Schizosaccharomyces pombe: one gene and its partner. The protein of the gene in region 1 interacts with the protein of each later gene in a pairwise test. Each region holds a gene or a part of one and is shown on either strand. Other genes may lie near its edges.

The links.
Region 2: the proteins of cbh2 (region 1) and enp1 interact in a two-hybrid assay, tested with the Schizosaccharomyces pombe proteins (one large-scale study listed by BioGRID).

What each region holds. Positions count from the first base shown.
Region 1 is NC_003423.3:4,180,104-4,184,236, reverse strand, and holds cbh2 (CENP-B protein 2), read left to right. Parts: upstream 1-1,798; 5' UTR 1,799-1,826; coding exon 1,827-3,371; 3' UTR 3,372-3,500; downstream 3,501-4,133. Other genes in the region: pho8 (alkaline phosphatase), read left to right, coding at 52-1,445; sorting nexin Snx41, read left to right, coding at 3,749-4,036. UniProt on the Schizosaccharomyces pombe protein: Binds to the central core and core-associated repeat regions of centromeric heterochromatin.
Region 2 is NC_003423.3:3,740,619-3,744,592, reverse strand, and holds enp1 (bystin family U3 and U14 snoRNA associated protein), read right to left. Parts: upstream 2,224-3,974; 5' UTR 2,168-2,223; coding exon 1,241-2,167; intron 1,198-1,240; coding exon 775-1,197; 3' UTR 526-774; downstream 1-525. Other genes in the region: rqt2 (ATP-dependent RNA helicase), read left to right, coding at 1-525; SPOM_SPBC13G1.15C (uncharacterized protein), read left to right, coding at 2,817-3,152; ash2 (Set1C complex and Lid2 complex subunit Ash2-trithorax family), read left to right, coding at 3,660-3,974.

The DNA of each region.
Region 1 (4,133 bases):
GGAATCTTCCTTTTTTTTACAATATTTCTCGGTGACTGACTTTTTTTAAAGGAATGGGACCTGGCTCTTTGTCTATGACTAGATCGTTTGTAGAGACTCTAAACGATAAAGAGGGTTATAGGCTTCCCTTGGATGAGCATTTAATTGGCAGTTCACGGACACGTTCCAGTTCGAGTTTGATTACGGATAGTGCAGCCGGAGCAACCGCATTTTCTTGTGCTAATAAAACCTACAACGGAGCTGTTGGTGTTTTGGATAATGAAAAACCTTGTGGAACTATCTTAGAGGCTGCTAAAGAAGCCGGTTACTTAACCGGAATTGTTGTCACAAGCAGAGTTACCGACGCTACACCTGCCTCTTTCTCTGCTCATGCCGCGAATCGATTCATGCAAGATTTAATTGCTGAGTACCAAGTCGGGATGGGACCTTTGGGAAGGAGTGTTGACTTATTGTTCGGTGGTGGACTTTGTTCATTCTTACCTAAATCTACTTATCGATCATGTAGATCCGATAACTTGGATCTTTTGAAATATGCTAGGAAAAAAGAAGGTTTCCAAATTTTGCTTAATAGAACTGACTTTGATGAGCTATCAAACGCTCAATTGCCTTTGCTTGGTTTGTTTTCTGATTATCATCTCAGTTATGATATTGATTATCAGCCTGAAGTGCAACCTAAGCTTTCTGAAATGGTAGAGACGGCTTTGGATGTTTTGCTCAACGCCACTAATGAAGATACATCTAAAGGATTTTTTTTGCTCATAGAAGGGAGTAGAATTGACATGGCCTCTCACAACAATGACCCTATCGCTCATGTTTACGAAGTTATGGAATACAACAGGGCCTTTGAAATAGCAAGTGCATTTGTAGAAAAGAATGGAGGATCTTTAATCTCTACATCGGATCATGAAACTGGTGGTTTGACTGTTGGTCGCCAGGTCTCCAAAAAATATCCAGAGTATTTATGGAAGCCGCAAGTCCTATCTCTTGCTCTCCATTCTATTGAATATCTCGCTTCAGCTATCGTGAACCATAACCAAAATACGTTGCTTCCTTATATTGAACAGTTTGTTTTACCCGCAATTGGCATTCCTGACCCTAATCCAAAGCAGATTCATGACATATACGTGGCCCGGCATAATATATTTAATCTTATAAACGTGCTTAGTGATATTGTTAGTGTAGAAGCACAAATTGGCTGGACCACTCACGGCCATACTGCTGTCGATGTAAACGTTTATGGAGTAGGAGAGGTCACTGAACATCTTCGAGGAAATATGGAGAACATTGAAATTGGACAGTTTATGGAGATATACTTAAATGTTTCACTAAGCGATGTAACTGAAAAGCTCAAAGATGCTCCCATACATGGTGCCCCAGATCGACCTAGTTTAGTGGAAACTTCATTTTCCGATCGTCTTGTAGGTTTCGGTGCTGATTTGTTTTAAAGCCTTTTAATCAAGATTGCCATAAATATATAATTTAGAATACTCTCATATATGCTCAGCTTATTTAAATCGCTTAATTATGGCATTCAAATTCTTTTTAAGTTAAACCTATTTTACTTCTTATCTTTTACTTTATTTAATTTCCACTGTGGTTGAGATATCCAACAATTGCGATTTAAGAGCAAACGAATATTACAATTATACATACAACTTGTCGCAATAAAGATAGTTAACATATCCATAACGAAAATATTATAATAATATTATAATAACAAACACGTTAATATATCAAATATCACAAACATATCGGGATATCATCCATATCATCCACGACAGCCGCGATTACCTCCCTTACAACGATTTTTTCGTAAACTTGAGAGAATGCCTCCATTGAGGCGTCAAGCGTTGACTTTAGCTGAAAAAAAAGCAATTAGAAAACATTATTTTGAGTCAGCAACTAAACCTTCGCAACAAGAGCTTATTAGTTGGTTCGAGGAGCACTTTCATAAAAAGCTAGCACAATCTACCGTTTCGTCAATTCTATCATCAAAGAACGAATTTTTAGATAATCTAGACGCAGAAAACTCTCAAATAAGAAGAAACCGCCAAGGAAAATATCCTATCTTAGAAAACGCCCTTATTGACTGGCAAACGAGGTTGCAAAAACAAGACGGAGCAATTACTGGAAACGCCATCAAAAAAAGCGCCGCAGAATTGTGGAGACGTATACCGGAGTACTCTGAGCTTCCGATTCCAGAATTTAGTAACGGTTGGTTAGAGAAGTTCAAAAAGCGTTGTTTAAAACACGGCCTTAAGTTACAGGGTGAATCTACTTCAGTAAATCAAGGAACGTATGAGGAAAACATGGTTCAAATACAGGAATTAATAAGTCTTTTTGATCCAAAAGACATCTTTAATATGGATGAGACGGGGCTATGCTGGAAACTTATTCCCAATCAATCTCCTGCGAGTGAACGAGTAAAAGGAATTACGAGAGATAAGGCTCGTGTCACCGTCACTATTTGTTGTAATGCTACAGGTTCTGAAAAGGCCCCTCTTTGGGTGATTGGATATGCTAAAAGTCCAAGGGCCTTTCGGCAAGCAAATGCTCATCCTGATTCCATGGATTTTCATTGGCGATATAATGGAACCGCTAGGATGACCACTTCCATTATGGAAGAATGGCTTCGTTGGTTTGACGATTTGATGAAGGGTAGGAAAGTTCTACTTATACTGGATAAGTTTGTCGCTCATGAATGCGCTTTGGAAAATATTCGCAATTCCGAGCGAAAGTTGGTAAACACGACTGTTGTTTTCCTTCCTGTAAATTCTACAGAAATTTACCATCCTTGTGGCCAAGAGATAGTCTACGCTTTTAAATCATACTACAGAAAATACTGGCTTAATTACATGCTTGAGGAGATTCGATTGGGAAAGAACCCCAGTAAGACAATGAATGTACTAAAAGCAGTTAGATGGATGATTCGTTCTTGGAACGTTGACTTTGAACCATCTATAATATACAATTGTTTCCTTCGTTCTGGGCTTTTTCAAAATCAGCAACCACTGACCGGTCCTTCTCCAGAAACCATTAGAATCGCGGTGAATTTGCAAGAATTGATAGGAAAATACCTTGGTGATAAGGATATTTTCCAAATCGAAAATTTTATTAACCCTATTGAAGAAAATTCTGCTGACACTAATGACGATATCGTTAACCAAGTTGCTGCTCAATTTCTTGATGAACGAGAGTTTGAAACCGATGAAGAAGAGGAAGAGTCACAGTATTTGTTATCAACAAAGGATGCGATAAATGCCATCAATACTTTACTAAACTTTCAAGAGCAATCGGAAGATGGAAATGTTTTGTTTACTCGAACATTACTTCAGTTTCAAAAGGTTTTAGAAAGCAGATCGATTGTGTAAAGGTTGTGGGAATTGGAAAATTTGTTTCTAACGAAAATGTACACATTTTCTATACTTTTAAATAATTTTTATAGAATATAAGAAAGATAAATAATTACAGTGAATTCTTAAAGGTTAACTACTAGACGTACTATTTCAATTAATGTGAGATTCGCGCTAAAAGCGTTTATAAACTCAATAAGATATATTGATAAAATAATAAAGTGAAGAATCAATTGTTTAAATTACGAAATTGAATTGGGACAAATTTTTTGTTTTGCGAAAAATAAGCATAGCGCAATGCATTAATCAACACAGTATGACTGTCTGTACTTGTCAACTCCAAACGCCATTATTCAGCATTGCAATTGAAATTGGACGTTGTGAGAAACAATTGAATGGATTTTTTTGAAGATAATAATCCATTCTCTGGCTCTGACAACAGAAGCGCCTCTTCTGCTGTCAATGTAGAGCCAAAAGTTGAGCCATCACAGCACCAGGGCTCTTCATCTGTCAAAGAGAATGCGATTAGCCAACCGAATGAGAGTTTTCAAAGTAGAAACATGTTTTTTCAAAAGGACGTAGATAGTGTTGTTGATTCAGCCCTCGATCCAAACGGAATTGTAATTACTGGAGCTATGAAGGCTGAGAGTGGATCACACATAGTATATATAATCAAACTTCAAGTAAGTTAAGGAAATTGGTTGATAATGTATTAAGTCGAACTATTCATTGTAGAATCCTTGCTTCATTCTTCTCTTTTGTTTGGAAGTATTGAAATGT
Region 2 (3,974 bases), 440 kb from region 1:
TGCTATCCGAGTGAGATTTACAGAGCTTCATTACCTGGACTTAATGCGTCTAGTGAAAAGGAAGCAAGAGATTATCTCAACAAATTTGCAGGAAATAAAACTGATGAGTTATATCAAATGCTATGTAATGACCCTAACGTTTTTGATATAGAAAGTCTGGTCAATAGTTTAATTTCGTATCCTAAAATGAACATTGAAGTTTCTCAATCGTCTTCAGATAAGCTACTCCTTTATCTACGACGCCTCAATCAGCCGCTCAACCCCGATTTTTACATTTTTGCGCCGTTGTTCCCTAAACCTCAAAGTGAGGGATTTTTCGTTCTCATCATAGATTCAGAAACTCAAGAACTGTTCGCGATACGTCGGGCCTCATTTGCTGGGCGAAGAAACGATGATTCAATTCGTTTATCCCTTCGGATTTCAATGGATATTCCACCAACTTGCCGCAACAGAAATGTAAAAGTCATGGTTGTTTGTGATGGATACCCATTAATTTACGAACATAAAATTGTATTGATGATTTAATGAAGCTTTTGTAGAAAAATAGAAGGCTTTAAGCCAATTTCCTTATTATATTTAAGTCTGTTTAATAAAAATTAATTAACAAATCTATAGACCTCAATAATCCTATTAATTGGTGAACATAAAACCCACAATTTAAGTAAAAATATTCCCAACATTGAAAAACAGCGGCTAATCCGAAGTCTTTTTATTCAATTTTTTTTACAAAAGAAACAAATGCCAAGTGAACCCAAGAAAACCAAAACCATTCAATTAATATTCCATTTCCACAGGAATTTCTTCACCACGACTAGCACTGTTAAGCAGCTCACGTCTAATTTCTGGACCAATAGAATAATGTCCTTTCAGGCGAACAACTTCTAAGAGTGCATCCTTTTGTTCGGGTGTAATATCAAATTTGTACCGTTGAGCAAAGACCAACATCGATTGATGTTCTAATACAGCAAGTGGACGTTCCAATGATTTCCATCGCATAAAATAAAAAACCAAAGAATCAAGCACCTTATACGGTAGAGCATATTTTTTGTCGAGTAATATCCTAATAAATACGGAAGTAGCACCACTCAAGTCAAACTCAGTTAAACGTAATAACGCGGCTGCAGAATGCAGAACCGGCACAGAAACTTTTTGAAGGATACTACCGATGATTGCGGCTTCGCGCAAAGTGCAATTCTCCTATAAGAGGTTAATAATTAAGTAAAGAAATCGATGAACATACTTGAACTAGAGGAAACAAGAAACCCTTAAACCAAGAAGACGGTTTGTATAATGCCTTTTTCAAAGCCATATATAAATGGTAATTTAATTTTTTATTTTCACGAATGTCATCACGAACTCTTTCCAAAATAATGACTGTGAGGAAGTGTTGAGCTTGTACAGGTTTTAAGTTGGAAATAAAAATACGAGTAGCTTCATAACAAGCATGAGGTGTCCACATGTCAGGTCGAGTGAGATAAAGTATGTCTTCCCAATTAGACAACGTAGGGATAATTTTGAAAGCTTTAGGAATTTTTCCTGAGCGGTATTTACTAAGTAAAACCCCAACCTTTGAATAGACCTCTATTACCTTGGGAGGCAAGGGAGGTAAGGCATTTTCCTCCTCTTCTGCAGAAGGGATATATTCACCACGAGCGCGAGCTTCAGCCTCGTTGATTTTTTGCATGATCAAATCGGATAGTGAGGTGGTTTTTTCCTCTGTTAGATCTCCTTCCTCGCCTGACACGGTTGGGAGGAATCGATCGAATAAATCTCGGTCAGCATCATCTATCTCAAGCTCCTCATACTCTTCTTCTTCTTGAGAAGTAATGCTTTCACTATCGGATACATTTCTAGCATGCTCTGATTCTTCATAGCTTGATTCAATTGCCGGATTTTCTAAAGTGTCTTTTTGATGTCCATTACTAATAAAAGCACTGATCTGTGAAGGTTTTCCATTTTCTTCTTCATCCAACTCCTCTTTTTGTTCCCTTGCTAATTGTAAAATTTTTTTAGAAGTCTTGGCATCCAAGAAGCCGTTTCCGGTGTTGCTTTCTTTCGACTTTTTCTGTTTGCTAGGTTTCTGTCTCAAGACACCACTTTCTGAAGATTCTGCAATGTCCTTATAAAGAGGAGCATGATGCAGTTTAGTTTTTGGAGCCTTGGGCATTATCAATAATATATTTTCTTTTTAATTCCGCCGCTCCAAACACTTTGGTTTTTTGTAGGTACAAATTGCAATTATAAAACTTACCTAATTAGCGTACTTTAAATCCCACGTAAAACCGTGCATTTCGTTTTACCTAGCGCCTCACAAAATAGCACGCTATTTAGCCTTTCACCTTTTGTAACTACTGAACTCCATGGGAAGTATCTTCCATATGCAGTTTTTTATGCTATACTATGTTATGTTAGCTATTACTGTTCAATATAGCTCTTTAAATATTAAAGAATAGGACTGTGGGATGATATAATGGTCTTCATTAAAGTTGATAATACTAATTGAATAAATGAAAATAAATTACATCTTAACCAACATTCCGCATTTCAGTTGTGAGCTATTGAATGATTGCCATATTATCAAAGTTTGACAGTATGTTTAACACATCAGCAAATCTCTAAGTTTTCAAAGATCATGGGAACTCAAGCTACTTTTTGTTCGCTATTTTTCCTAGTAATCGCATAGTTGACAGCTTTTATTATATATATAAATATATATTAAATTAAAGCGTATAATCTGATATTAAGAACTCAATTTTTTAGATTTACGCAGACTGAATCTTGGAAAATAAAGGACATATTTCTTCAGCTTGAGAGTAATGGCTTCATGCTGTATCTTTTGTGCTCAGTTTGTATTAAATCGAAATCTGTTAGAAGCTAATAAGTATAAACTTTCCGAAATTACTTTTAAGGTCTACATTAGTATCAGAAGGCTACTAATTGTAGTGATCACACTTTACAGACGAATAGTTGAGTGTTGTGCTTCACTATGCTCCCTCATTTTCAGTAAATATTATCTGCATTATAAAACTTTTAGGATTCTTACAATAATTCAAAGTTGGTCTGATAAAGTCTCAGTTCTTCCAAATCGCCTTTATTGTTTACCTTTTTGCAACGCGTTTATTGAGTTCGTAAAAAAACTTACCGAAACGTAAAGAAATTTCAACGCCATAATTAATGCGAAATTACTAAGTCCATTATTAACCCATATTGAGTAAATTAAATTCCTACCTCCCTGTGAGTGTATTTTTTTCTGTACATAAGCAAGTGATCTGAGGAGGTTTGTATCTAATCTGAACTACACGTTTGTAGGTGAATACTAGTGACTGAGTCGTGTTCGATGAATATTCGCAAATGAACCTATGTACTTGTGAAATCCTTTAGAGTTAATTAATTCTTCTTAAGTGGAACCTTAATTATTCGAGGATTATTAGATAAACAAATTTCAACCCAAGAATTAATTTACATACCCCTTCTCGTGAATTTTGTCTGTATATAGCAGATGTGATTTTGTCCTTTTTATTTTTTTTAAACTGTACTACATAAAGCTTTGCAGTTATTTAAAGTTTTTTTTTAGAATTTGTTCATATTGCTAAGCTTGTGAAGAAGCTTTTGGACGCGTTTTTTATAAGCACAGTCTTGAGACAAGACACTTTTCGAAGATGCTGGCTCATGGATCCAATGATTATGGAGTTTCCTTAAAGGGGAATAAAACCGGTTCCTCTCCTAGTAAAGCATCTTCTCTAAATTGGAATGAACCTCATACCTTGAACGAACAGAACACCTATTGCTATTGTGGAAAAGATAGAAATTTAAGATTCCCTGATCTTCAGTGTAGCGTTTGTTTAAATATGTTTCATCTCTCGTGTTTAAGTCCTCCTTGTACGTCGATGATGGGATTTAGTACAAATTATCAATTTGTCTGTAAGCATTGCACTGAAGACGGATTTGAACGATTTGAACGAGGTGTATCCGCA